Linked DNA regions of Macaca mulatta. The protein of the gene in region 7 binds, or shares a complex with, the protein of the main gene of each other region. Links are inferred from orthologs where the notes say so. Each region holds a gene or a part of one and is shown on either strand. Other genes may lie near its edges.

What was found.
Region 1: the proteins of SFN (region 7) and FOXO1 are in contact, whole or in part, in a crystal structure (PDB 8A62), measured with the Homo sapiens proteins. The link is inferred for Macaca mulatta from reciprocal best matches to the Homo sapiens genes SFN and FOXO1. Residues at the interface, in NP_006133.1 of Homo sapiens: Tyr19, Ser45, Lys49, Asn50, Arg56, Arg60, Lys122, Asp126, Arg129, Tyr130, Glu133, Gly171, Leu174, Asn175, Val178, Tyr181, Glu182, Leu218, Ile219, Leu222, Asp225, Asn226, Leu229, Trp230; in NP_002006.2 of Homo sapiens: Pro20, Arg21, Ser22, Cys23, Thr24, Trp25, Pro26, Leu27, Pro28, Arg29.
Region 2: the proteins of SFN (region 7) and SHROOM3 are in contact, whole or in part, in a crystal structure (PDB 6FCP), measured with the Homo sapiens proteins. The link is inferred for Macaca mulatta from reciprocal best matches to the Homo sapiens genes SFN and SHROOM3. Residues at the interface, in NP_006133.1 of Homo sapiens: Ser45, Val46, Lys49, Asn50, Arg56, Lys122, Arg129, Tyr130, Gly171, Leu174, Asn175, Val178, Tyr181, Glu182, Leu222, Asp225, Asn226, Leu229, Trp230; in NP_065910.3 of Homo sapiens: Arg1239, Ser1240, Arg1241, Ser1242, Ser1243, Ala1245, Thr1246.
Region 3: the proteins of SFN (region 7) and AMOT are in contact, whole or in part, in a crystal structure (PDB 7NPB), measured with the Homo sapiens proteins. The link is inferred for Macaca mulatta from reciprocal best matches to the Homo sapiens genes SFN and AMOT. Residues at the interface, in NP_006133.1 of Homo sapiens: Val46, Lys49, Asn50, Arg56, Arg60, Lys122, Arg129, Tyr130, Gly171, Leu174, Asn175, Val178, Tyr181, Glu182, Asp215, Leu222, Asp225, Asn226, Leu229, Trp230; in NP_001106962.1 of Homo sapiens: Val171, Arg172, Ser173, Leu174, Ser175, Glu176, Arg177, Leu178, Met179.
Region 4: the proteins of SFN (region 7) and WWTR1 are in contact, whole or in part, in a crystal structure (PDB 8R0Z), measured with the Homo sapiens proteins. The link is inferred for Macaca mulatta from reciprocal best matches to the Homo sapiens genes SFN and WWTR1. Residues at the interface, in NP_006133.1 of Homo sapiens: Cys38, Asn42, Ser45, Val46, Lys49, Arg56, Arg60, Phe119, Lys122, Arg129, Tyr130, Pro167, Ile168, Gly171, Leu174, Asn175, Val178, Tyr181, Glu182, Asp215, Leu218, Ile219, Leu222, Asp225, Asn226, Leu229, Trp230; in NP_001161750.1 of Homo sapiens: Arg86, Ser87, His88, Ser89, Ser90, Pro91, Ala92, Ser93, Leu94, Gln95.
Region 5: the proteins of SFN (region 7) and MEFV are in contact, whole or in part, in a crystal structure (PDB 8C28), measured with the Homo sapiens proteins. The link is inferred for Macaca mulatta from reciprocal best matches to the Homo sapiens genes SFN and MEFV. Residues at the interface, in NP_006133.1 of Homo sapiens: Glu14, Cys38, Asn42, Leu43, Ser45, Val46, Lys49, Arg56, Arg60, Glu115, Phe119, Lys122, Arg129, Tyr130, Pro167, Ile168, Gly171, Leu174, Asn175, Val178, Tyr181, Glu182, Asp215, Ile219, Leu222, Asn226, Leu229, Trp230; in NP_000234.1 of Homo sapiens: Arg205, Asn206, Ala207, Ser208, Ser209, Ala210, Gly211, Arg212, Leu213, Gln214, Gly215.
Region 6: the proteins of SFN (region 7) and SNAI1 are in contact, whole or in part, in a crystal structure (PDB 4QLI), measured with the Homo sapiens proteins. The link is inferred for Macaca mulatta from reciprocal best matches to the Homo sapiens genes SFN and SNAI1. Residues at the interface, in NP_006133.1 of Homo sapiens: Ser45, Lys49, Asn50, Arg56, Lys122, Asp126, Arg129, Tyr130, Leu174, Val178, Glu182, Ile219, Leu222, Asp225, Asn226, Leu229, Trp230; in NP_005976.2 of Homo sapiens: Ser175, His176, Thr177, Leu178, Pro179, Cys180.

Annotation. Positions count from the first base shown.
Region 1 is NC_133422.1:20,018,911-20,021,609, reverse strand, and holds part of FOXO1 (forkhead box protein O1), read left to right. Parts: coding exon 1-1,078; 3' UTR 1,079-1,092; intron 1,093-1,565; 3' UTR 1,566-2,699. UniProt on the Homo sapiens protein: Transcription factor that is the main target of insulin signaling and regulates metabolic homeostasis in response to oxidative stress.
Region 2 is NC_133410.1:57,067,237-57,070,736, reverse strand, and holds part of SHROOM3 (protein Shroom3), read left to right. Parts: coding exon 1-1,269; intron 1,270-3,500. UniProt on the Homo sapiens protein: Controls cell shape changes in the neuroepithelium during neural tube closure. Induces apical constriction in epithelial cells by promoting the apical accumulation of F-actin and myosin II, and probably by bundling stress fibers.
Region 3 is NC_133426.1:119,487,164-119,490,663, reverse strand, and holds part of AMOT (angiomotin), read left to right. Parts: coding exon 1-688; intron 689-1,016; coding exon 1,017-1,114; 3' UTR 1,115-3,500.
Region 4 is NC_133407.1:52,529,438-52,532,937, reverse strand, and holds part of WWTR1 (WW domain-containing transcription regulator protein 1), read left to right. Parts: intron 1-2,439; coding exon 2,440-2,573; intron 2,574-3,500. UniProt on the Homo sapiens protein: Transcriptional coactivator which acts as a downstream regulatory target in the Hippo signaling pathway that plays a pivotal role in organ size control and tumor suppression by restricting proliferation and promoting apoptosis.
Region 5 is NC_133425.1:4,480,246-4,482,837, forward strand, and holds part of MEFV (pyrin), read right to left. Parts: intron 984-2,592; exon of another isoform or gene 609-983; coding exon 493-608; exon of another isoform or gene 304-492; coding exon 271-303; coding exon of another isoform or gene 259-270; exon of another isoform or gene 196-258; intron 1-195. UniProt on the Homo sapiens protein: Involved in the regulation of innate immunity and the inflammatory response in response to IFNG/IFN-gamma.
Region 6 is NC_133415.1:102,822,937-102,827,100, reverse strand, and holds the start of SNAI1 (zinc finger protein SNAI1), read right to left. Parts: upstream 2,801-4,164; 5' UTR 2,328-2,800; coding exon 2,246-2,327; intron 1,555-2,245; coding exon 1,027-1,554; intron 1-1,026. UniProt on the Homo sapiens protein: Involved in induction of the epithelial to mesenchymal transition (EMT), formation and maintenance of embryonic mesoderm, growth arrest, survival and cell migration.
Region 7 is NC_133406.1:214,122,291-214,124,832, reverse strand, and holds SFN (14-3-3 protein sigma), read left to right. Parts: upstream 1-1,205; 5' UTR 1,206-1,270; coding exon 1,271-2,017; 3' UTR 2,018-2,042; downstream 2,043-2,542. UniProt on the Homo sapiens protein: Adapter protein implicated in the regulation of a large spectrum of both general and specialized signaling pathways. Binds to a large number of partners, usually by recognition of a phosphoserine or phosphothreonine motif.

The DNA.
Region 1 (2,699 bases), on a different chromosome or scaffold from region 7:
AAGCCCTGGCTCTCATAGCAACGACGACTTTGATAACTGGAGTACATTTCGCCCTCGAACTAGCTCAAATGCTAGTACTATTAGTGGGAGACTCTCACCCATTATGACCGAACAGGATGATCTTGGAGAAGGGGATGTGCATTCTATGGTGTACCCGCCATCTGCCGCAAAGATGGCCTCTACTTTACCCAGTCTGTCTGAGATAAGCAATCCCGAAAACATGGAAAATCTTTTGGATAATCTCAACCTTCTCTCATCACCAACATCATTAACTGTTTCGACCCAGTCCTCACCTGGCACCATGATGCAGCAGACACCATGCTACTCGTTTGCGCCACCAAACACCAGTTTGAATTCACCCAGCCCAAACTACCAAAAATATACATATGGCCAATCCAGCATGAACCCTTTACCCCAGATGCCTATGCAAACACTTCAGGACAATAAGTCAAGTTACGGAGGGATGAGTCAGTATAACTGTGCACCTGGACTCTTGAAGGAGTTGCTGACTTCTGACTCTCCTCCCCACAATGACATTATGACACCAGTTGATCCTGGGGTAGCTCAACCCAACAGCCGGGTTCTGGGCCAGAACGTCATGATGGGCCCTAATTCGGTCATGTCAACCTATGGCAGCCAGGCATCTCATAACAAAATGATGAATCCCAGCTCCCATACCCACCCTGGACACGCTCAGCAGACATCTGCAGTTAACGGGCGTGCCCTGTCCCACACGGTAAGCACCATGCCCCACACCTCGGGAATGAACCGCCTGACCCAAGTGAAGACACCTGTGCAAGTGCCTCTGCCCCACCCCATGCAGATGAGTGCCCTGGCGGGCTACTCCTCCGTGAGCAGCTGCAATGGCTATGGCAGAATGGGCCTTCTCCACCAGGAGAAGCTCCCAAGTGACTTGGATGGCATGTTCATTGAGCGCTTAGACTGTGACATGGAATCCATCATTCGGAATGACCTCATGGATGGAGATACATTGGATTTTAACTTTGACAATGTGTTGCCCAACCAAAGCTTCCCGCACAGTGTCAAGACGACGACACATAGCTGGGTGTCAGGCTGAGGATTAGTGAGCAGGTAAGTTCACCCCAATATCAAAAGACCTTTTGAAAAATAGAACTTAAAAGGGAGGAACACAGTAACTTGCCATGGTTAGCACATCTTTGATGTCAACTGACTGCCCCTTGCAGAGAGGGATCTTTTATCATTCATTCTCTGTCCTTTTTGCAGCTTATCAATTTTCCTTCCTAGCTTCAACAGAAGGAAGCTTCCTTTAACTGCTTTAAAGATTTCTTTTTGACAGTTTGATGGCTGCATCTTTTTAGTAGCTCTTCAATAAATGAATACATTTGATATAAATCAAATGCTGAAGGGTTTTTTGTAAAGTAGAATTTTCCCCATTGAATGATTTTAGAGCTGTTTGAGAAAGCTCTAGCTTTTTGCCCCTAAGTATGTCTGCCACTCTGAACATGTTAAGTTGAATTGATTTTAATTTGGCTATATTTTCATTTTGTGTGTATGTGTGTGTGTGTGTATGTGTTTTTTCCTAGGTTACACTTAAAAGTACTTCAGATTGTCTGACAGCAGGAACTGAGAGAAGCAGTCCAAAGATGTCCTTCACCAACTCCCTTTTAGTTTTCTTGGTTTAAAAAACAAAACAAAACAAAACAAAAAAAACGGAAAAAAAAAAAACCCCGAAAAAAACCTTCCTTTTTTCCTTTCGTCAGACTTGGCAGCAAAGACATTTTTCCTGTACAGGATGTTTGCCCAATGTGTGCAGGTTATGTGCTGCTGTAGATAAGGACCGTGCCATTGGAAATTTCATTACAATGAAGTGCCAAACTCACTACACCATATAATTGCAGAAAAGATTTTCAGATCCTGGTGTGCTTTCACGTTTTGTATATAAGCAGTAGATACAGATTGTATTTGTGTGTGTTTTTGTTTTTGTTTTTTTTTTTTTAAATATCCATTTGGTCCAAGGAAAGTTTATACTCTTTTTGTAATACTGTGATGGGTCTCATGTCTTGATAAGTTAAACTTTGGTTTGTACTACCTGTTTTCTGCGGAACTGACGGATCACAAAGAACTGAATCTCCATTCTGCACCTCCATTGAACAGCTTTGGACCTGTTCATGTTGCCACAGAATTCACATGAGAACCAAGTAGCCTGTTATCAATCTGCTAAATTAATGGACTTGTTAAACTTTTGGAAAAAAAGGTTAAATGCCAGCTTTGTACAGGTCTTTTCTATTTTTTTTTTTTTTTGTTTATTTTGTTATTTGCAAATTTGTACAAACATTCAAATGGTTCTAATTTCCAGATAAATGATTTTTGACGTTATTGGTGGGACTTAAGAACATTTTTGGAATAGATATTGAACTGTAATAATGTTTTCTTAAAACTAGAGTCTACTTTGTTACATAGTCGGCTTGTAAATTTTGTGGAACCACAGGTATTTGGGGCAGCATTCATAATTTTCATTTTGTATTCTAACTGGATTAGTACTAATTTTATACGTGCTTAACTGGTTTGTACACTTTGGGATGCTACTTAGTGATGTTTCTGACTAATCTTAAATCATTGTAATTAGTACTTGCATACTCAACGTTTCAGGCCCTATTTGGGCAGGAAAGTGATGTATAGTTATGGACACTTTGCGTTTCATATTTAGGATAACTTAA
Region 2 (3,500 bases), on a different chromosome or scaffold from region 7:
TCTGAGTCAGCTGAACCCCTAGGCAACGGGGAGCAGCACTTCAAAAACGGGGAGCTGACGTTGGAAGAGGCTTCCCGGCAGCCCTGTGGTCAGCAGCTGAGCGGAGGAGCCTCGGACAGCGGCCGTGGCCCCCAGAGGCCGGATGCTCGGCTCCTCCGCAGCCAGAGCACCTTCCAGCTCTCCAGCGAGCCAGAGAGGGAGCCCGAGTGGCGGGACAGGCCCGGATCGCCCGAGTCGCCCCTGCTGGATGCCCCCTTCAGTCGCGCCTACCGGAACAGCATCAAGGATGCTCAGTCTCGTGTCTTGGGGGCCACTTCCTTTCGACGCCGAGACCTGGAGCTGGGGGCGCCTGTGGCATCGAAGTCCTGGCGGCCGCGGCCTTCCTCGGCCCACGTGGGGCTGCGGAGCCCCGAGGCGCCGGCTTCCGCCTCCCCGCACACGCCCCGGGAGCGGCACAGTGTGACCCCTGCGGAGGGCGACCTGGCCAGGCCCATGCCCGCTGCCGCCCGGAGAGGGGCTCGCCGGCGCCTGACTCCCGAGCAGAAGAAGCGCTCCTACTCCGAGCCCGAGAAGATGAACGAGGTGGGGGTCGCGGAGGAGGCCGAACCAACACCCCTGGGCCCGCAGAGGAATGGGATGCGTTTCCCGGAGAGCAACGTGGCCGACCGGCGCCGCCTCTTCGAGCGCGATGGCAAGGCCTGCTCCACGCTCAGCCTGTCGGGGCCCGAGCTGAAGCAGTTCCAGCAGAGCGCCCTGGCCGACTACATCCAGCGCAAGACCGGCAAGAGGCCTACCTCCGCCGCCGGCTGCAGCCTCCAGGAGCCCGGGCCACTGCGCGAGCGCGCCCAGAGTGCCTACCTCCAGCCTGGCCCCGCGGCGCTGGAACCCTCCGGCCTCACCTCAGCCTCCAGCTTGAGCTCGCTGCGGGAGCCCAGCCTGCAGCCCCGCAGGGAGGCCACACTCCTGCCGGCCACAGTTGCAGAAACCCCGCAGGCTCCCCGAGATCGCAGCAGCTCCTTTGCCGGTGGCCGCCGCCTCTGGGAACGGCGACGCGGGGACCCACAGGTCCCAAGGGAGCTGCTCAGTGGAGCAAACGGTGGAACAAGGGGCACCCAGAGAGTGGATGAGACCCACAGGGAGCCATCCTCCTGGGGGGCCAGGGCTGGGAAGTCCATGTCAGCTGAGGACCTGCTGGAACGCTCAGACGTCCTCGCCGGCCCTGTCCACGTGAGGTCCAGGTCATCTCCCGCCACTGCGGACAAGCACCAGGTATGTGCAACCAGCAAGTCCTGGCCTCGGACTGTCCCTTCCTCCCTAGAAGCTTTAATGGGGCTCCCCAACCCCCCACACTCTCACTCCCTCTCCCAGTTCAGTTTTCCTTGTGAAAACAGAAAAGTAGCATTTGTTTTCATGAGTTGAGTTTCTCAAGTGTCCCTGCCTGGTTTCCTTATAAAGATATAGGTATCTAGATTACCTATATTGTTATACAGATTATCTATCTATCTCCTTTTTAGGAAGTCACCACCTCTCAATGCAAAAATGCAAGGTTAGGAAAAATTAGGGATTATCTTTTTTGTTTTTTGTTTTTTAATGGATTAGAGTGTGGATCTGAGTATTTAAAACGTTTTAGCTTTGCACCCTTTCTGTTTCTATTGGACTTTGCATCTACAAAATAGCTAGAGTGATTGACATTGATAGTCATTGGTTATTGAATTCCTGGCCCTCAGCTAAGTGTGTGGCAGGTCCTGAGCTAAGTGTAATCTACATTTATTACTTCATTTAACCCTCACGATAATCCTGTGCAGTAGAGTATATTATACATGTCAGACCCCTGTGTCTGAGACTCCCACCTGAGCTCTTTCTGTGCATTATCCTGGTGAGGAGAGAAAATAAAAACTCAAAATCACACATAAAAGGATTTTCTAATAAAGGCACCAAATGCTGCAAGGGTTATAAAGTACTTTCCCCTGAAAATTTTAAGCAATGCTAGGAATAGAAGCTGAGCATTCTGACTCCTAGGAGCCTATTAATTTCCCCAATTCTTAGCCTATCCTCAGGCTTCACTTCCACTGGAGATCAGTGGCCTGCCTCATGCTTCCCTTCCCACCAAAGAAAATAATAGGAATCACATACCTGTTAGCACAGGGAAGGAAGAACTCTGCTCCACTGCCTCCTCTCAGATTCTGCTGTTTTCCCTTTCAGAGAAGTCAGCCATTCAGCAAGCATCTGTAGAGCATGTGTTGTATGAAAAATGCTGTGTTACAGCATCAAAGGATACACAAAGGAAAAAAAAGGCTCATGCCTTTCTGGGGTTCACAATTAAGCAAAGAAGACGGCCTTATATATATAAATAATTCTAATATGACTAGTGAATGTTTTGGGAATGGTGATCAGTAATATGCTATGTTAAGGAAAGTGATTAATTCTGAGGTGATCTGAAAGTACTTCTCCTGAAGGTAAATGGGATTTGGGGCCAGGATGTAAAAGATGGGCATGATGACAAGAGATTAGGCGAGAGGGAATACATTGATCGGAAGAAACCAGTTGAGACAAAGAAAGATTCAGCAGTTACTGGCTGAGAAGTTTGCTGCACTCTAGCACACACATACAAACACCCTTCTGAGAGAAAATACTGTCCCTTCCCAGATGTTTTCTGTTTAGAATTGTACAGAAATATATTCTCCCAGTATAAACCCCCCACAAATGTAGAGGCAGCTTCCCATAAGCCTTCAGTAGCTTTTTCCTCCTTCAGAATGAACACAGCTAATTCTGACTCCCTATCCTACCAATAACACACATTTAAAATCCATATATGTAACACGCAATTTCATCTAGCTTGATAGATTTTAGCAACTTAACTGCATAGCAGTCTAAACACCCTCCTTTCTCTCCCCGTGTTTTAAAGAAAATAGAAATGCTTAGGTGAAAACCAAATCATTATTGTTTATTCCCCATTAGATATTGTTATTTTGTCTTAGAGGTTGGTTGGATGGCTATGAATGTTATTTTATCTTTTCCCCCAAATATTTCTTAAGCCTGGTTGATTAAGAAATAAAGCTAAAACATGGGTGTTAAGGGAAGTGAAGAGATTCCTCCAAATCCCAATTAAATACTTTGTATTATTTGGGAAACTTTTTAGAAAGACAAGTGAATACAGAATAGTACTTGGGTACCCTTTTCATAAAGGGAATGCCATATTTAGATGTTATTTAATTTGGGGAATATGCAGGCAGAGGGGGAAATATTTCCAAATGAAATACTTCTTTTGTACTGCTTTGCTCCAACAAATTCTGAAATTTCTGAACAATGCGTCGTCTCTTATATTGTCACTGTGCCAGGACTGCATTCTTGAACTTCCTCCTGGTCTCCTGCACAGCAGCCAGACCTACGCTGACTGGAGAAGCATCTCACGGCAAGGTGGTCTGCTCCTTGCATCCTCTTCGGCATCTGCCTTATTTGTAGTTATGATGAGTTAAAAATAAAACAAAGTTATTCTCACC
Region 3 (3,500 bases), on a different chromosome or scaffold from region 7:
CCTGTGCCCCCCTCGACTCCCCTGCCCTCGGCTCACTCCAAGACAGGCAGCCGAGACTGCAGTACCCAAACTGAACGTGGGACGGAATCGAACAAAACTGCAACTGTTGCTCCCATCTCTGTTGCTGCTCCAGTTGCTGCCGCCGCCACTGCTGCCGCCATCACCGCCACTGCTGCCACTATCACCACCACCATGGTAGCTGCTACTCCAGTTGCTGTTGCTGCTGCTCCAGCTGCTGCTGCTGCTGTTGCTGCTGCCCCGTCTCCAGCCACCGCTGCTGCTATTGCTGCTGCTGTTTCTCCAGCTGCTGCTGGTCAGATTCCAGCTGCTGCCTCTGTTGCCTCAGCTGCTGCCGTTGCTCCTCCTCCTCCTCCTCCTCCTCCTCCTCCTGCTGCTGCTGCTGCTGCTGCTGCTGCTGCTGCTGCTGCTGCTGCTGTTCAGGTTGCTCCAGCTGCTCCGGCTCCGGTTCCAGCTCCGGCTCTGGTTCCAGTTCCGGCTTCAGCAGCGGCTCAGGCTTCTGCTCCTGCTCAGACTCAGGCACCAACTTCAGCTACGGCTGCAGCTCCAACTCCAGCTCCAACTCCAACTCCAGCTGTGGCTCAGGCTGAGGTTCCTGCAAGTCCAGCTACCGGTCCTGGACCACATCGTTTGTCTATACCAAGTTTGACCTGCAATCCAGACAAAGCAGGTAATTATTCCCTTTAGCAGGTAACTTTTGGTTTAGTTCTGCTCTCAAATACAGATTTATTTCTTGTTGCCTGATGTCTGGGCAGAGTTATCCTTTGGACTGAATTTTTCATGTTCTAAGGGAGAGAGAAGAGAGTCTGTAAATGACTTCTCATCCACCAAGATGGGAACAGGCATGAGTGGAGGCCATTATCTTAGCAGAAGTAAATGAGGGAGGTGACAAGTCTCACTTTGCCATTGGCTTCATGAGGGCTCTGATGGTGTCTAGTTCTAGAAATACAGGTTTTTTCTTCATCCCTAAGTGTTTTCTAACCCTTATTTCCATTTAGATGGGCCTGTGTTCCACTCCAATACTCTGGAAAGAAAAACTCCCATTCAGATCCTGGGACAAGAGCCTGATGCAGAGATGGTGGAATATCTCATCTAAACGGCCAAATCAAGAGCTGCAGATTCTCAGCAAAAATGCTTTTAATCATTTCCCCCTTTTATTGGTTCTTGTTTTGGGGGTGAGGACAAGGGTTGGGGGGAGGGGATGTTTTTTAACAGGACTTTTTGTTGGAACAATGTACTACTTGAGTAATACCATGTGAACCACCAGTCTATTCTGGTATGCTTAGGGAGTACCTCTAAAGACAGATTAATCCGAATGTGCTCTAAAGCTTATTGTTTGAATTTATACAAATACTGGGACTGTTAACGGGTGGGCATACATCAGTGTTTTCAATGTGCTTAAATTTGTTTAAAATTTCCATATTCTAGATCATTTTTAATTGAAGAGCACAGTATGTGTGGAAGACAGTGTGTAACACGTAGTTTGGAAGTGGGAAGCTGGAGAGAATTGAGTGTGTGCTGTCTTGTATAGTTACTATCCTGTGCAGCAGCCGGAGAAAGCTCTCACCTCAGGCTTATAAAAGGGAATAGTTTCAGGAGCTATGTAAGCTGGAAAAAAGGTAGGGAGTTTTGGGATGCAGAAGGGTGCTGGAGCTAATTTTTTCTTCCAATTTCCCAGCTACCCTGCCCCAGGGAATTGTGTTTGTCTTCATTTCAGTGGTGCTTTGGAAACGGATTCTTTTGGTTCCCTCCTGGAGGTTCATACATTCATATATATGCTGTGGAATAATTTATGCATTTGGATAATTAATATATTGCTTTCAGATGCTGGGAGAGTACATTAACTGAGTGATGCACAACTTCCTCTCTCTTAGGGAGTTAGACCATCAGAGGCCTTGATGGAGACTTGCGTGAGGTGCTATATGCAGACTTTCATGGTCTGTGTGTAGCCATGAACATAGCTTGCTTGCATTTATTAAGACCAATCAGCTTAGTGTTTATTTCTTCTACAGCACAGATTCACTGGCTGGGGCTCCAGTCTCAAATTGCCAATCATTTGCAAAGTGAGGAAGGATCTTTGTTGACAGGTTGAATGCTTTGAATTTCTGGTGACTACTTTGAAATAACTTGTTTTGTGTGTCAAATTCTAAGCATATGTCTTAAAAGGCATTTTTGACTATCATCTCCAAGGGAATAACATGAGAAACCCAAAGTACTATGCTGCAGTCGGGGGAGAGGTGGATTGCAGCAGTATCCTCAACTACCTCTTCTCACTGTCAGTGACTCCATCTTGGAATACCTTTGGGAAGCAGCGGGAAATGTGCATGTGGGTAGAGATCAAAGGAGGCAATGGTTCCAAGCCTTGCCATAGGGCTGCCTCCAAGAACACAGAAGGATGCCAGTTGCCACAGGACCCTGCCCTGTGTCACCTGTCTGCCCTTCATTAAGGTGACAAATCTGCAGATAGCATCATTAAGATCAGTTTTAAGGGGTATAGGGAGGGTGAGGGAAGGTGGGGGGGTGTTAGGTAAGGGTAGGGGGGGTAGAGGTTTTGGGATGTCTTAGTTAGAAACCAGATTAATAGAAGAGTAGGCCTGTTATATTACATCATGAGCCATAGCGGTGGGAGAGAACTTTAGCAATAGAGCCCTACCCCCTCATTTTAGTGATGAGGAATCTGAGAACTGGAGAGGTTCAGTGACTTTTTAAAAGTCACACAACACAGCTAACCATTATGCCAATCACCATGCTTATTTTGGGAAGCTCTTATCTTTTTTTAATTCCATTTTACGAAAAGACATCTTCATGGTCCAGGGAATATGTATCTTGTAAAATGTCCCTGGCTGGAGTAGCTTGTCCAGTCTTGACAAACTACTGAATTTCTGTCTTGCCTCTCCTTCAGTGCCTTTTAAAAGGTTTTCCCTTTTCTGATCTGCATTACAACATCGAGTCACATAAATGTCCCCCCTAAGAAACCAATCCCACTTCTTACTAGGAGATTGGGTATCTTAGATAATCTTTTGGGGTTCCTCTGTGAGTATAGGAATGATATCTTTCCTAATTACCTTCCAAAGGAATTATTCTGTGTGTGTGTGTGTGTGTGTGTGTGTGTGTGTGTGTGTGTGTGTGTAGAGAAAGAGAGAGACATAAAGGAAGGGTGATGTGATTTTCAGCTAGTCCTTTCACATTTTCAATAATGAGGTAATCATGTTACATACACATTAGTCCTCAGTTATAAAGTGAATCTCAGATAGAAATTAAAAATGCAGTTGTGTTAAGACTCTTTCATACTACCCTTTAGTCGTAAGGAGAAAAATAACCTCAAATAGTAGAAGCAGCAAGTAGCAAACTTCAGGAGAGCTACTTTCTATCCAAATAAATAATTTAAAAACACTTTTCACCTACTCCTTTCATGGTTATAACACATTGGCAGACTTTTTGCTGGCTCTGGGAACCATGATTTTAATCACATTCTGCAAGGT
Region 4 (3,500 bases), on a different chromosome or scaffold from region 7:
CCACTGCCCAGCCTCAACTTTTATTCTTAGGACTTATGTTGATAAAGTTTTGTCAGATAGAAAGGAATGCAGCCATCTCATCAACTTTTATATTAAAAGTGTCTTTGTTTAGAGGTAAACTCCCACATTTATTCAGAATGATTGAAAAATGGAATATTCTAGTAAAGTTCGTGTTTTTGGATAATGAGGTTATGAGTCAAAAGATTCTTGCATTTATGGTTAATAAAGTACTAGAAATTTACCATTGACAAGGTACATTTTTTCAAACTGTGGCTCAGGGTATGTGAGTGTGCTTGAGGGATGGGGACTGGTGGGGTCCAGGCTTTTTATGCCAGATTCAATCCTTGTTGCTCCTTCTGAGGCTTTCAGGAAAACTTTGGTTGGATAATAAGGTTTCTAATGCACCCTGCCTGCCATGTTAAAAACAACTATCAGAAAGTCATTTGATTTTTCTAGGTTTATTCAGAAGGCACTTCCAAGATTTAGATGGTGAATGAAAATAACTTCTTACCAAAAAAAATCTCCATTTTTTGGTTTGCTTTTTATAGATTCCTGAATAAAATTTGTTAGTTAAGTATTCGATTATTTGCAATTTAGATGAACAGAAGTGAGCCAGAGACCCTTTCCAGCTAGAAAATTTATTTCAGTATAAGTTAACAATACAGTTGTTTTTTTTTTAATCAATCAGTTCTCTCATGGTTTGTAACAGCACAACGAACTCTAGTAACTGAAAATTTTTATAGCCAATGACTTCACTAGGACTTGTCTAGACAGCAGTTACCCTCTAAAGTCACAGCATGTTAGGGCTGGAAGAGATCTAACAAAGATACTGTAATTTAGAAGTCCTAAATGTTCTGTTTGCCATTGTAGCCATGGTTTTACGGTTTGAGGGACAGTGAGACCAATGACTTCAGCATGGAAAGTGGGAAACTGATAGGCATAAATATGGGGAAAGGCCTAACCTTAGTTTGGGATGCAAATGTAAACATATAAAAGTATTCTCTGGAAACAGCAGCAAATTTGAAAGGAATTTGATGTCTGGTTGTTTGTCAAAAAGGAGAGACTCCTGGAGATCATACCTAGAGAAAGTAATTGCAGTCAGTAGATTTCTAGCATTTTGGATGGACTCTCCTTGGCAATGTAATGCTAGCTTTTATAAAATAATGTTTATATTATTTGTTTTTGCTAATGAAATCCATATGCTGTGAAACAGTTACTTGTCTGTGGGATTTGGATTGGATCTACATGTTTCCCCAATCTTCAGCATTTTAGTCAACGAAGTAGTCAAATGGATTGACTTTTTTTTTTTCCTTTTTTTTGAGACAGCGTCTCACTCTGTCATCCAGGCTAGAGTGCAGTGGCGTGATCTCTGCTCACTTTAGTCTCAACCTCCCAGGCACGAGGCTCCTCCTACCTCAGGCTCCCAAGTAACACCAGTCCCAGCTAATTTTTGTGTTTTTTGTAGAGACAAGGTTTCACCATGTTGCCCAGGCTGGTCTCGAACTTGTGGGCTCCAGTGATCCGCCCACCTCGACCTCCCAAAGTGCTGGGATTATGGACGTGAGCCACCGCCCCTGGCCACTGATTAGCTTTTCAAAGTAAACTTTCAACTCATTGTTTTGCTTTCCTGTCTGTAAACATAAAACTTCCAGATGCAATTTAATGTAGAGCCTGTACTCTGTAATTCCACAGTTTTACTGGCCTGTAAGTGGCAAAGACCAGAATGTACCTTATAGTCCAGAGGAATCGGATTGCTTTGATTGATGTAGATTTGGTTTGAGAACCTGAGATAGAAATAGCCTTGTCTCTGAGAAGTGTTTTGAGAGGACTTTCTATGATTTGGGTGTTTAAATAATTGCATGGGTGGGATGATTGCAACAGTTAAGTGCCCTTAGGTCAAATAATAGCTGAGCTTCCCATTAACTTTGTGAATGTGAAGTGACTTATGTCTGTAAGACTTTCTTCAGAGAAAGAATACCAGTGGTTACCTGGTGATTTTGACTTGCTGGGAGTAAATACACAGTGCTTTGTATTTGGTGAAAAGTTTTTGTTTTTTTTGAGACGGAATCTCGCTCTGTCACCCAGGCTGGAGCGCAGTGGTGTGATCTCGGCTCATTGCAAGTTCCGCCTCCCAGGTTCACGCCATTCTCCTGCCTCAGCCTCCCGAGTAGTTGGGACTACAGGCGCCCGCCACCTCGCCTGGCTAGTTTTTTGTATTTTTTTAGTAGAGACGGGGTTTCACCGTGTTGGCCAGAATGGTCTCGATCTCCTGACCTCGTGATCTGCCCGTCTCGGCCTCCCAAAGTGCTAGGATTACAGGCTTGAGCCACTGCGCCCGGCCTGGTGAAAAGTTTTGATGTGACATACACTCTGCTCCATGCCTTGTGACAATGAGTGAATGACTCTTGCTTCCCACTCTGACTGTTGTTACTTCTGTAGGAAGCTGCCCTCTGTCGACAGCTCCCCATGGAAGCTGAGACTCTTGCTCCAGTTCAGGCTGCTGTCAACCCACCCACGATGACCCCAGACATGAGATCCATCACTAATAATAGCTCAGATCCTTTCCTCAATGGGTAAGTTAATATTTGGGGGCCACTTATTTTTGTTCTCTTTATTATGTGATCTAGACTATGATATGATCTTTGTTTACATTGGGAAGAGGTGGAGAACTTGAGGGTTGAGGGTGAGGATAAAGGGAGGAAGTGGGAGGAGCTGGCAGAAAATAGAAAGGCAGGGGAAGTCATCTACCTTTTAAAAAAATTTCCAAATTAAAAAATTAGTGATAGGACATAGAGTAAACCCCTAGTCAAGAATTTGAAAATGGGCATGAATTTATATATTTTTTAAACATGATAGTGTTGTTTAGTACTTATACTTGGAAGAATCTTGTGGTTTTATGTAACCAACAGGGGATAAAAGCATGCCATATGGCAAGTTGAGAACAGAACAATTAAGAAATGATGTTCAGCCAGGCGCGGTGGCTTATGCCTGTAATCCCAGCACTTTGGGAGGCCGAGGCAGGCGGATCACCTGAGGTCGGGAGTTCGAGACCAGTCTGACCAACATGGAGAAACCCCGTCTCTATTGAAAATACAAAATTAGCAGGGCGTGGTGGTGCATGCCTGCAATCCCAGCTACTCAGGAGGCTGAGGCAGGAGAATTGCTTGAACCCGGGAGGCGGAGGTTGTGGTGAGCCGAGATTGCACCATTGCACTCCAGCCTGGGCAACAAGAGTGAAACTCTGTCTCAAAAAAAAAAAAAAAAAAAAAAAAAAAAGATGATGTTCAGGGTGAAATGTGAATAAGATCTATAGTTTAGTAATTAGTATTCTACAATGTCAGGTTTCTGGTTTTGGTAATTGCACTATGGCTATGTAAGATGTTATCACTGGGGAAGCTGGTGAAGGGTACATGGGAACTCTCTGTACTCTTGCTGTGTCTTCTATGTGAGTTTAAAATAATTTCACAATTTAAAAAGTAATTAAAACAAAGGAGCAAAAA
Region 5 (2,592 bases), on a different chromosome or scaffold from region 7:
CTGCTTAGGGCCCTGCATGCTATGTTGGGTATAATCCCGTTCCTCCCAGGAACCCAGGTCATGTTGGGAACTGTGGTCTAATGAGTCAGCTCAGCCAGTGAGTCATGCAGTCATGCACAGAGCCTGGGGGGCCTGCCATGACCTTTCTCCTGCCTTTGCTCCAGGTGTTTTTGGGTTTTTTTGTCTTCTAAATAGGGCCCCTCAAGTCAACAGCACAAGGAAACACTGCAACAATCCCAGGCCAGCACACACTATTACCGCTGGACTCACCATTGAACATTTCCATTTCTGAACGCAGGGTTTCTAAAATGTGGGAAAGGGAACAGAGAGAAGCTGGAGTTAGGTCCCTCAGCTAGGGACAGATGGAAGAGAGGTCGAAGGCAGGTCAGCAAGACCAGGGGTGGAGGAGGAGGGAAGTGAGGGGCTCTGGGCTATGTGAATCTTAGGGCGGAAGCAAGCATGCACCTCCAATCCTCTCCCAAGCCCATCTACCTAAGAAGTACTTTGCGTTCTTCTCCACAAACTCTAACTTCTGGTGGAGCAGTTGGATCTTCTGTTTCATCTCTTGAGGAGGAGTCCACCGTTCAGGGAGAGGCACTGTCTTAGCCCTAGAGACAAAAGACTGTTGGCCAGAGAGGGCTGGAACGAGGGGATGGCCCAAGTACCCGTGAGCTGGAAATGATCTACATTCTCCACAGGGCACACCTAGCCCAGCCTGAGCTACACAAAGAAAAGTCTTCTCTGGATTCAGAGGTCTAAATGCTGGTCCTCAACTTTGGCCACAGATTGTCATGTACTGGGGCGCTTTAAAGACATGGATATCAAAACCACAAGGAGTTTTCAGAATGGACTTAAAATGACATTGATATTATCTACCAGAATTATCTATGTCAAATTGATTATACATCCCTTTATTTCTTTCTATTGAAATAAAAATGGTAGTTAATGAAAAAAAAAAACAATAAAATACCCCTTCACATTCATTAGGATGGCTATTATAAAAACAGCAACAACAGGAGAAAATAGGCCAGGTATGGTGGCTCATGCCTGTAATCCTAGCACTTCAGGAGGCCAAGGCAGCTGGATTGCTTGAGCCCAGGAGTTCAAGTCCAGCCTGGGCAACATGGCAAAACCCTGTCTCTATTAAAAATACAAAAAAGTAGCTGGAAATGGTAGCACATGCCTGTAGTCCCAGCTACTCAGGAGGCTGAGGTAGGAGAATCACCTGAGCCCAGGAGTTGAGCCTGCAGTGAGCCGTGACTGTGCCACTGCTCTCCAGCTTGAGTGATGGGAATGAGACCTTGTCTCAGGAAGAAAAGAGAGAGAGAGAGAGAAATGGCTGGGCGCAGTGGCTCACATCTGTAATCCCAGCGCTTTGGGAGGCCAAGGTGGGTGGATCACTTGAGGTCAGGAGTTTGAGAACAGCCTGGCTGACATGGTGAAACCCTGTCTCTACCAAAAAAATTAGCTGGGCATGGTGGCACGCTCCTGTAGTCCCAGCTACTAGGGAGGCTGAGGTGGATGAACCCCTTGAACCTGGGAGGCAGAGGTTGTAGTGAGCCAAAGATGACGCCACTGCACTCCAACCTGGATGACGGAGCAAGACTCTGTCTCCAAAAAAAAGAAAAAGAGAGAAAGAGAGAGAAACAAGAAAATAAGTGATGGCAAAGATGTGGAGAAACTGGAGCCCTTGTGAACTGCTGGTGGGAATGGGAAGCAGTGCAGCCCCTGTGGGAATCAGGATGGTGGTTCCTCAAAAAAAATTAAACACAGAATGACCACATGGTCCCGCCGTTCCACTTCTGGGTATGTACCCAAAATAACTGAAAGCAGGGTCTCAAATAGATATTTGTATGCCCATGTTCATAGCAACATTATTCACAAACCAAAAGTTAGAAAAAATCCCAATGTCCATGAATGGATAAACGAAATGTAGTATGAACACACAATTGACTACTATTCAGCCATAAAAAGAAAATAAATTCTGATACACGTTACAACATGGATGAAGCCTGAAGACATTATGCTAAGTGAAGAAGCCAGACACAAAAGGACACTGGGATTTTGTAAAGCTCCCAGGTGATTTTAAGGCTTAGCCTCTTCCTGTCCCTTCCCTCCCCTTCCTGCTGGGCTCAACCCAGCTTCACTCCAAACAAGCTTCCCAAGGCCACCAGTAGGCCTGAAGGGGCAGTTTTCATAAGGTGAATTGCACGGGACACAATGCACTCAGCAAGTTTCTTAGGGAGCCTCCATCTTAGGATGGGCTGAATTCACCCTTCCCAGTCTGCAGCTCCACACCTGGTCAGCCTCCCTGCCGGCCAGATCCCCTTCTCCCTAAGCAAATCCAGAGGCTTTGCCTCCCTGCCGGCCAGATCCCCTTCTCCCTAAGCAAATCCGGAGGCTTTGGCTCCCTGCCGGCCAGATCCCCTTCTCCCTAAGCAAATCCGGAGGCTTTGGCTCCCTGCCGGCCAGATCCCCTTCTCCCTAAGCAAATCCGGAGGCTTTGGCTCCCTGCCGGCCAGATCCCCTTCTCCCTAAGCAAATCCAGAGGCTTTGCCTCCCTGCCGGCCAGATCCCCTTCTCCCTAAGCAA
Region 6 (4,164 bases), on a different chromosome or scaffold from region 7:
TGAGAACTATTCGGGTATAATAAATTACTATAAAGTGATTAGCCACCTTTACAGCCACTCTCTTTTTTTTTTTTTTTTTTTTTTTGAGACGGAGTCTCACTCTGTCGCCCAGGCTGGAGTGCAGTGGCCGCATCTCAGCTCCGCCTCCCGGGTCTACGCCATTCTCCTGCCTCAGCCTCCCGAGTAGCTGGGACTACAGGCGCCTGCCACCTCACCCGGCTAGTTTTTTGTATTTTTTTTAGTAGAGACGGGGTTTCACCATGTTAGCCAGGCTGGTCTCGATCTCCTGACCTTGTGATCCGCCCGTCTCGGCCTCCCAAAGTGCTGGGATTACAGGCTTGAGCCACCGCGCCCGGCCTACAGCCACTCTCTAAAACATATGCCATCATAATTCTCCCGAGTCTCAGAGAGGTTAAGTTGCTTGCCCAAAGTCACACAGCAGGGAAGCAGAGCAAATGCCAAGGAACCATTTTTGTGACAGTTTAGCAGGTACCCGGCACTTTGCCAGGTGATTCCCATATGCATTCCTGCATTTAGCCCGTACAGAAACCCCACAAGCTGTTCTCATGCCCATCTGAAAGATAGAGAAAATGAGGCTCACAGAAGTGAAACATCAGCCTAAGCTTTGAGAAAGTTCTCAAAGGATTCAGAGCCAGGTGGGGGGTCTGACAACATCCTGTCTGGCTAGGGAGGGGGCGGACCGGGAGAGGGTGGGGCTGGGTGGGCCCCTTCACACCTGTGGCCCCCAGAGCAAGGTGTTGGTTGCACTTTTCCGATATCCAGCTCCAGCCCATTTGGCTGAGAAACAGGCTGCAGGGATTGGGAAGGTGTCTGCTTTGCTCATCTGCTTAGCTGATGAAGGAACGTTTCTGCCAAACATTTCCAGAGAGCAGGCCCCTGAACTTGAGCTGGAAGTTAGGAGACTCGGGGCCTCAGTGTCCACAACTTTGCGAATGAGAACAGCAAGTCCCAATTCACAAAGCTGCCACAGAAAGCAACGGTGGGGGCGCCTGGAGGGGCACTTACCAGTGTGGGTCCGGACATGGCCTTGTAGCAGCCAGGGCCTGGAGAAGGCCTTCCCGCAGGTTCCGCAGACGCAGGGCAGCGTGTGGCTTCGGATGTGCATCTTGAGGGCACCCAGGCTGAGGTATTCCTTGTTGCAGTATTTGCAGTTGAAGGCCTTTCGAGACTGGAGATCCTTGGCCTCAGAGAGCTGGGCCAGCTGCTTGGGCACTTGGCCCAAGCCTGGGAAGGCAGCATAGGCCTCAGCCTCCAAGGAAGAGGCTGAAGTAGAGGAGAAGGACGAAGTAGCCGGTGAGGGTGGGCTGGGAGGCTGGGAGCCTTTCCCACTGTCCTCGTCCGACAGGGAGGTCAGCTCTGCCGCCCTGGGACTCTCCTGGGGCCGAAGGGAGGCCCAGGCAATTGGCTGGGCTTGGGGCGCCAGGACAGAGTCCCAGATGAGCATTGGCAGCGAGGCGGTGGGATTGAGGATCTCTGGAGGTGGGATGGCTGCCAGCAGGTGGGCCTGGTCGTAGGGCTGCTGGAAGGTAAACTCTGAGAGAGAAAAAGCAGAGTCAGGCGTTAATTAAATCATTCACTCAATCAACAAACATGAACCCACCGCTGGCCAGGGGCTGGGTAGGGCTGATTCTCAACACATAATTAGATAAAAAAAATGATCCACAGGACAGACCAGGTTCCTGCCCTCCTGGCCCAGGTCACCCAATCTGAGTCTCTCACAGGTAGGACCCCCAGTTGAAGGGGGTCATTTCCAGATCTCCCTCTCCTAAGTCCCAAGTCCCCAGCCTGAGGCCAGAACCCCATCACCCCAGCCCTGGAGCCACCACCCTGCCCCAATCCCCCTCCTCACACACATCTCGTCTCCCCACCCCTCCCCTCAACCCTCTGGACTCCGGACTCTCCCCAGCAGCGTCCAGAGGGCCTTCCTGACACAGGCCTCCTCTCCCACTCTCGCGGAGCTCCTCCGCCTCTCGCCGGCTACACAGGCCACCCAAGCACAAAACCCCTGCTCTCTACACAGCACTCCCCCAACCACCCAGACCGATCCCCAGGACTGGGGACCCACCTGCCCGGTCTCCCGAGCCCGAGCCCGAGCCCGCAATGCTCCACAAAACACCCTGTGACTCGATCCTGGCTCAGACAGGCCGCCTCCCTCAGGTGGCCCCCACGCAGCCTTCGCCTGTCTCCCCCAAACCTCCTGGAGCCCACCACCCCTCCAACACACCTGGATTAGAGTCCTGCAGCTCGCTGTAGTTAGGCTTCCGATTGGGGTCGGAGGGCTTTCTGACGAGGAAAGAGCGCGGCATGGTGGCCGAGGCACTGGGGTCGCCGAGTCGCGCAGGAGCAGCGCAAACGTACCACTCACAAGGCCGGACCGCGGCGCAATGAGAGCAGCCGCGCCGCCAACTCCCTTAAATACTCCAAGGGGGTGGGAGGGGAGGGGCCTCATCTGCCACGCCCCTTTGTCACCTCCGCGCCAATCGGAGGCCCGTCTCCGCCGAAGGCCACTCCCCGAGCAGGTGCGCCGGGGGCTGGCCGGGCTCGCGCCGCGTGGCGCTGGGAGCCCGGGCGGGGGCTCCTCCGAGGCGGAGTTCGCAGGCGCAGCGCGGGTCGTCCGTGGTGCTCGGACTGTCCGGGGCGGGACGTCGAGCGAAGCGAGGCCCCTGCGAGGTGGGACCCCGCCAGAACGCCGCGCGCCCACCTGCTCAGCGCCCCGTGGTCGGAGCGCTTCTGACGCCCCCTGGCGCTGCGCGCGGGCCGGGACACCTGACCTTCCGACGCCCGCCCCCGCCTCGGGCTTAGGAGGGGGCGGAAATTTCCTCCGCCCGGCTGGCGCCTGGAGAGCGTGGCATTGACGAGGGAAATGCACATTGCTGGGGAGGAAGCGAGGAAACGGACACCGCACGTGGCTCCTGGCGGCGTGAAATGCTACGGCCGTTTTGCAAAGCAGCCTGGCCCAGCTAGCGAAGAGCGCCCGTTCCTTCCCTTAGCCAGTGTTTGCGGAGGGCCCAGCTGTACCTGGGGCAGGGCACAGCCCCGGACAGGACATTCAAGGCCTCTCCCGAAGGGTAGCTCCCGGTCCAGTGGGGGAGACAGACGAAGTAAACAGACAATTACAATGCAAAGGGAAGTGTGCTTTGGCGGGGGAGAGACGGGACGCAGCGACCGTTAAGAGGCGGGTCACCTGACAGGGGGTCGGGGTGACTTCCCAGAGGAAGTGAAGAATTATCAAGGGAAAAGGCCCGAGGGAAGAAGTGGCAACTGCTTCAGAGTAACTCCTAGAGAGCAGCTCTCAGGGATGGCGTGGGGTGGGCAGGCCCGGAAGGGTCAGATGTGCTGTGCCCCAGGGCCTCGTAGGAGGTTGGACTTTGCCTCAAAGGCACTGGGGAGCCACCGAAGGATTTTCAGCTGACGAGGGACCTGGTTAGAGTTTCGTAGAAAAAGATCCTTGTAGGCCGGCGGGAGAAAGAAGGGATGGGCCGGGCGTGTCTCCTCACCCCTGTGAAGATCCTCGATCCTGTGTCTAAAGGCTCTAACGTTGCTCTGTAGGGGCCCTGACTGAATGCATGTGGGGTGGGCCCAGGTGAGGGGCAGCTGCACCCCCACCCCAGCTTCCCTGGGAGGCATACCAGGCCCGGGAGTAGCGCTGAAATAAACCTCACAGGTCTCACCGTTCTTGTTTCCACCTGTGAAGGAAGACTAGAAAAACCTATAAGCACCCCACACCACCACCAGCAACATGAAGGGCAGAACTACTGTCTGTTTTGGTCACTTGGTGCCGGATGTAACAGCCGTGAACAAAATCGTCTTCCCCTGTTTCTAGCTGGAGAGTGGGGAGTAGGGTGGAGGACATAGGCAGGAAGCAGTTATTAGGCGGAATACTCTCCCTCCCGTGTCAATTTAGCTCCAATCAGGATCCTCTGCTGGAAGCCAGAGTGAGGCCAGAGCACCCCCTCCTCTGCTCAAACCCTCCCATGCGCCTGTCTCAGAGTAAAAGCCAAAGTCCTTTCCTCGGCCAACTCGGCCCCGCTGCTCTGACCCCGGCTGACCTTGGCTTGAGCCTCTCTCCCTCCCCCATGAACAAGGATCCCTCCCCCACCCTTCCTTCTGTTCCTCCAACATCCCAGACCTTTCCCACCGTGG
Region 7 (2,542 bases):
AAAACAGAATGGTATGTGTCACTGCCACCTCCCTTTCTCAGTCCTCTCTCTCCCCAGGTTGCTAGCGTCCCCCCTGGGGGATCAAACTGGACTGCTTCCCAGCCTCAGACAGAGAGCAGTCTGAGTCAGGCAGGAAAGTGGGACAGCCGGGGAGCTGGACCCCACCCTCTGTGAACCCCACTGGTACCTGATGGCATGTGGCTTGGAGAGGGCAAGTGACCTGGTGTGGAGGGCCAGAGGGTAAATCCTCAAACAAGTGGCAACAGGCCACCAACTTGAAAGGGAAAATTGTGTAGTGATGGGAAATGTGTACAACAAACCTACTGGGTGACTAATTACAAAGGCTGGGCTGGAGCGTCAGAGGCTGCTTGTTAAACACTTCATTAAGTGGCACTCTGAAAGCTGCCACCTGCGCATTCTGGGAGCTCAGAGGGGACCCTGAGGGGGAGTGAGGCCTGAGGGATGGAACCATCTTCAGGTAGATTGAGAAAGAGCCTGGATCTCACTTCCAAACACAGCCTGGAGCTCATAGGTCAGAGACTTCAACGGGAGAAAAGCTAAAGGAAGCAGGGTGCAGAAAGGAGTTTCAGGGAAGTGGTGGCTATGTGACTTTGAGCAAATCTCACCCCTCTCTGAGACTTAGTGTTCCCATCTCTGTGGTCCTGTGTGTGTCACAGAGACACAGTGGGGATTAAATTCGATGGTGAATATGAAAGTGCTTGGGAAACTCTATGGCCCTACCTAAACATGAGTTATCCTCACCTGAATCAAGGGGAGAAGTTACCTGGCAGGATTGGGAACCCCATCCTCCTGAACCTTTATGGGCTCTGTCGAGGCAGAAGCAGCCAGGGGCTAAAGCCGCCCTTAGCCTCTGTAAGGGCGCTGTGAAGGAGGATCTGATTTGAGAAGCCAGGCAGTTTCCTGATGTGAGCAGCCATATGATGCCAGCCCCGAACAAGAGGGGGCAGCCTAGAGCCTGGAAAGGTGCCTGTGCAGGTGGGGCCCACGCCCAGATTTCTTCTGCTGACTGTTCTGATGACTCACCCCCACATCCCAGCCTTTTTACCTTTACTGCAGAGCCGGAAAGGGTGTGGGGAGGAGAGGAGACGGAGGCAGGTCTTGGGCCCTGGTCCCGCCCCCTGCTCCTCCCCACCCTTCTCTGGGCCTGGCCACCCAGCCAAAAGGCAGGCCAAGAGCAGGAGAGGCACAGAGTCCGGCATTGGTCCCAGGCAGCAGTTAGCCCGCCGCCCGCCTGTGTGTCCCCAGAGCCATGGAGAGAGCCAGTCTGATCCAGAAGGCCAAGCTGGCAGAGCAGGCCGAACGTTATGAGGACATGGCAGCCTTCATGAAGGGCGCCGTGGAGAAAGGTGAGGAGCTCTCCTGCGAAGAGCGAAACCTGCTCTCAGTAGCCTACAAGAATGTGGTGGGCGGCCAGAGGGCTGCCTGGAGGGTCCTGTCCAGTATTGAGCAGAAAAGCAACGAGGAGGGCTCGGAGGAGAAGGGCCCCGAGGTGCGTGAGTACCGGGAGAAGGTGGAGACTGAGCTCCGGGGCGTGTGCGACACCGTGCTGGGCCTGCTGGACAGCCATCTCATCAAGGAGGCTGGGGACGCGGAGAGCAGGGTCTTCTACCTGAAGATGAAGGGCGACTACTACCGCTACTTGGCCGAGGTGGCCACTGGTGACGACAAGAAGCGCATCATCGACTCAGCCCGGTCAGCCTACCAGGAGGCCATGGACATCAGCAAGAAGGAGATGCCGCCCACCAATCCCATCCGCCTGGGCCTGGCCCTGAACTTTTCCGTCTTCCACTACGAGATCGCCAACAGCCCCGAGGAGGCCATCTCGCTGGCCAAGACCACTTTCGATGAGGCCATGGCTGATCTGCACACCCTCAGCGAGGACTCCTACAAAGACAGCACCCTCATCATGCAGCTGCTGCGAGACAACCTGACGCTGTGGACGGCCGACAACGCCGGGGAAGAGGGGGGCGAGGCTCCCCAGGAGCCCCAGAGCTGAGTGTTGCCCACCACCGCCCCACCCTGCCCTGCCCCCTTCAGTCCCCCACCCTGCCGAGAGGACTAATATGGGGTGGGAGGCCCCACCCTTCTCCCCCAGGCGCTGTTCTTACTCCAAACGGCTCCGTGGAGAGGGACTGGCAGAGCTGAGGCCACCTGGGGCTGGGGATCCCACTCTTCTTGCAGCTGTTGAGCGCACCTAACCACTGGTCATGACCCCAGCACTGCTCTCCGCACCGCTTCCTCCCGACCCCAGGACCAGGCTACTTCTCCCCTCCCTCTTGCCTCACTCCTGCCCCTGCTGCCTCTGGTCGTAGGAATTGAGGAATGTCCCGCCTTGTGGCTGAGAACTGGACAGTGGCAGGGGCTGGAGATGGGTGTGTGTGTGTGCGCGCGCGCGCGCCAGTGCAAGACCGACATTGAAGGAAAGCATGTCTGCTGGGTGTGACCATGTTTCCTCTCAATAAAGTTCCCCTGTGACACTCCTCCTGTCTCTCTCCAGTTCTTGGCGATGGGTTGGGAGTGG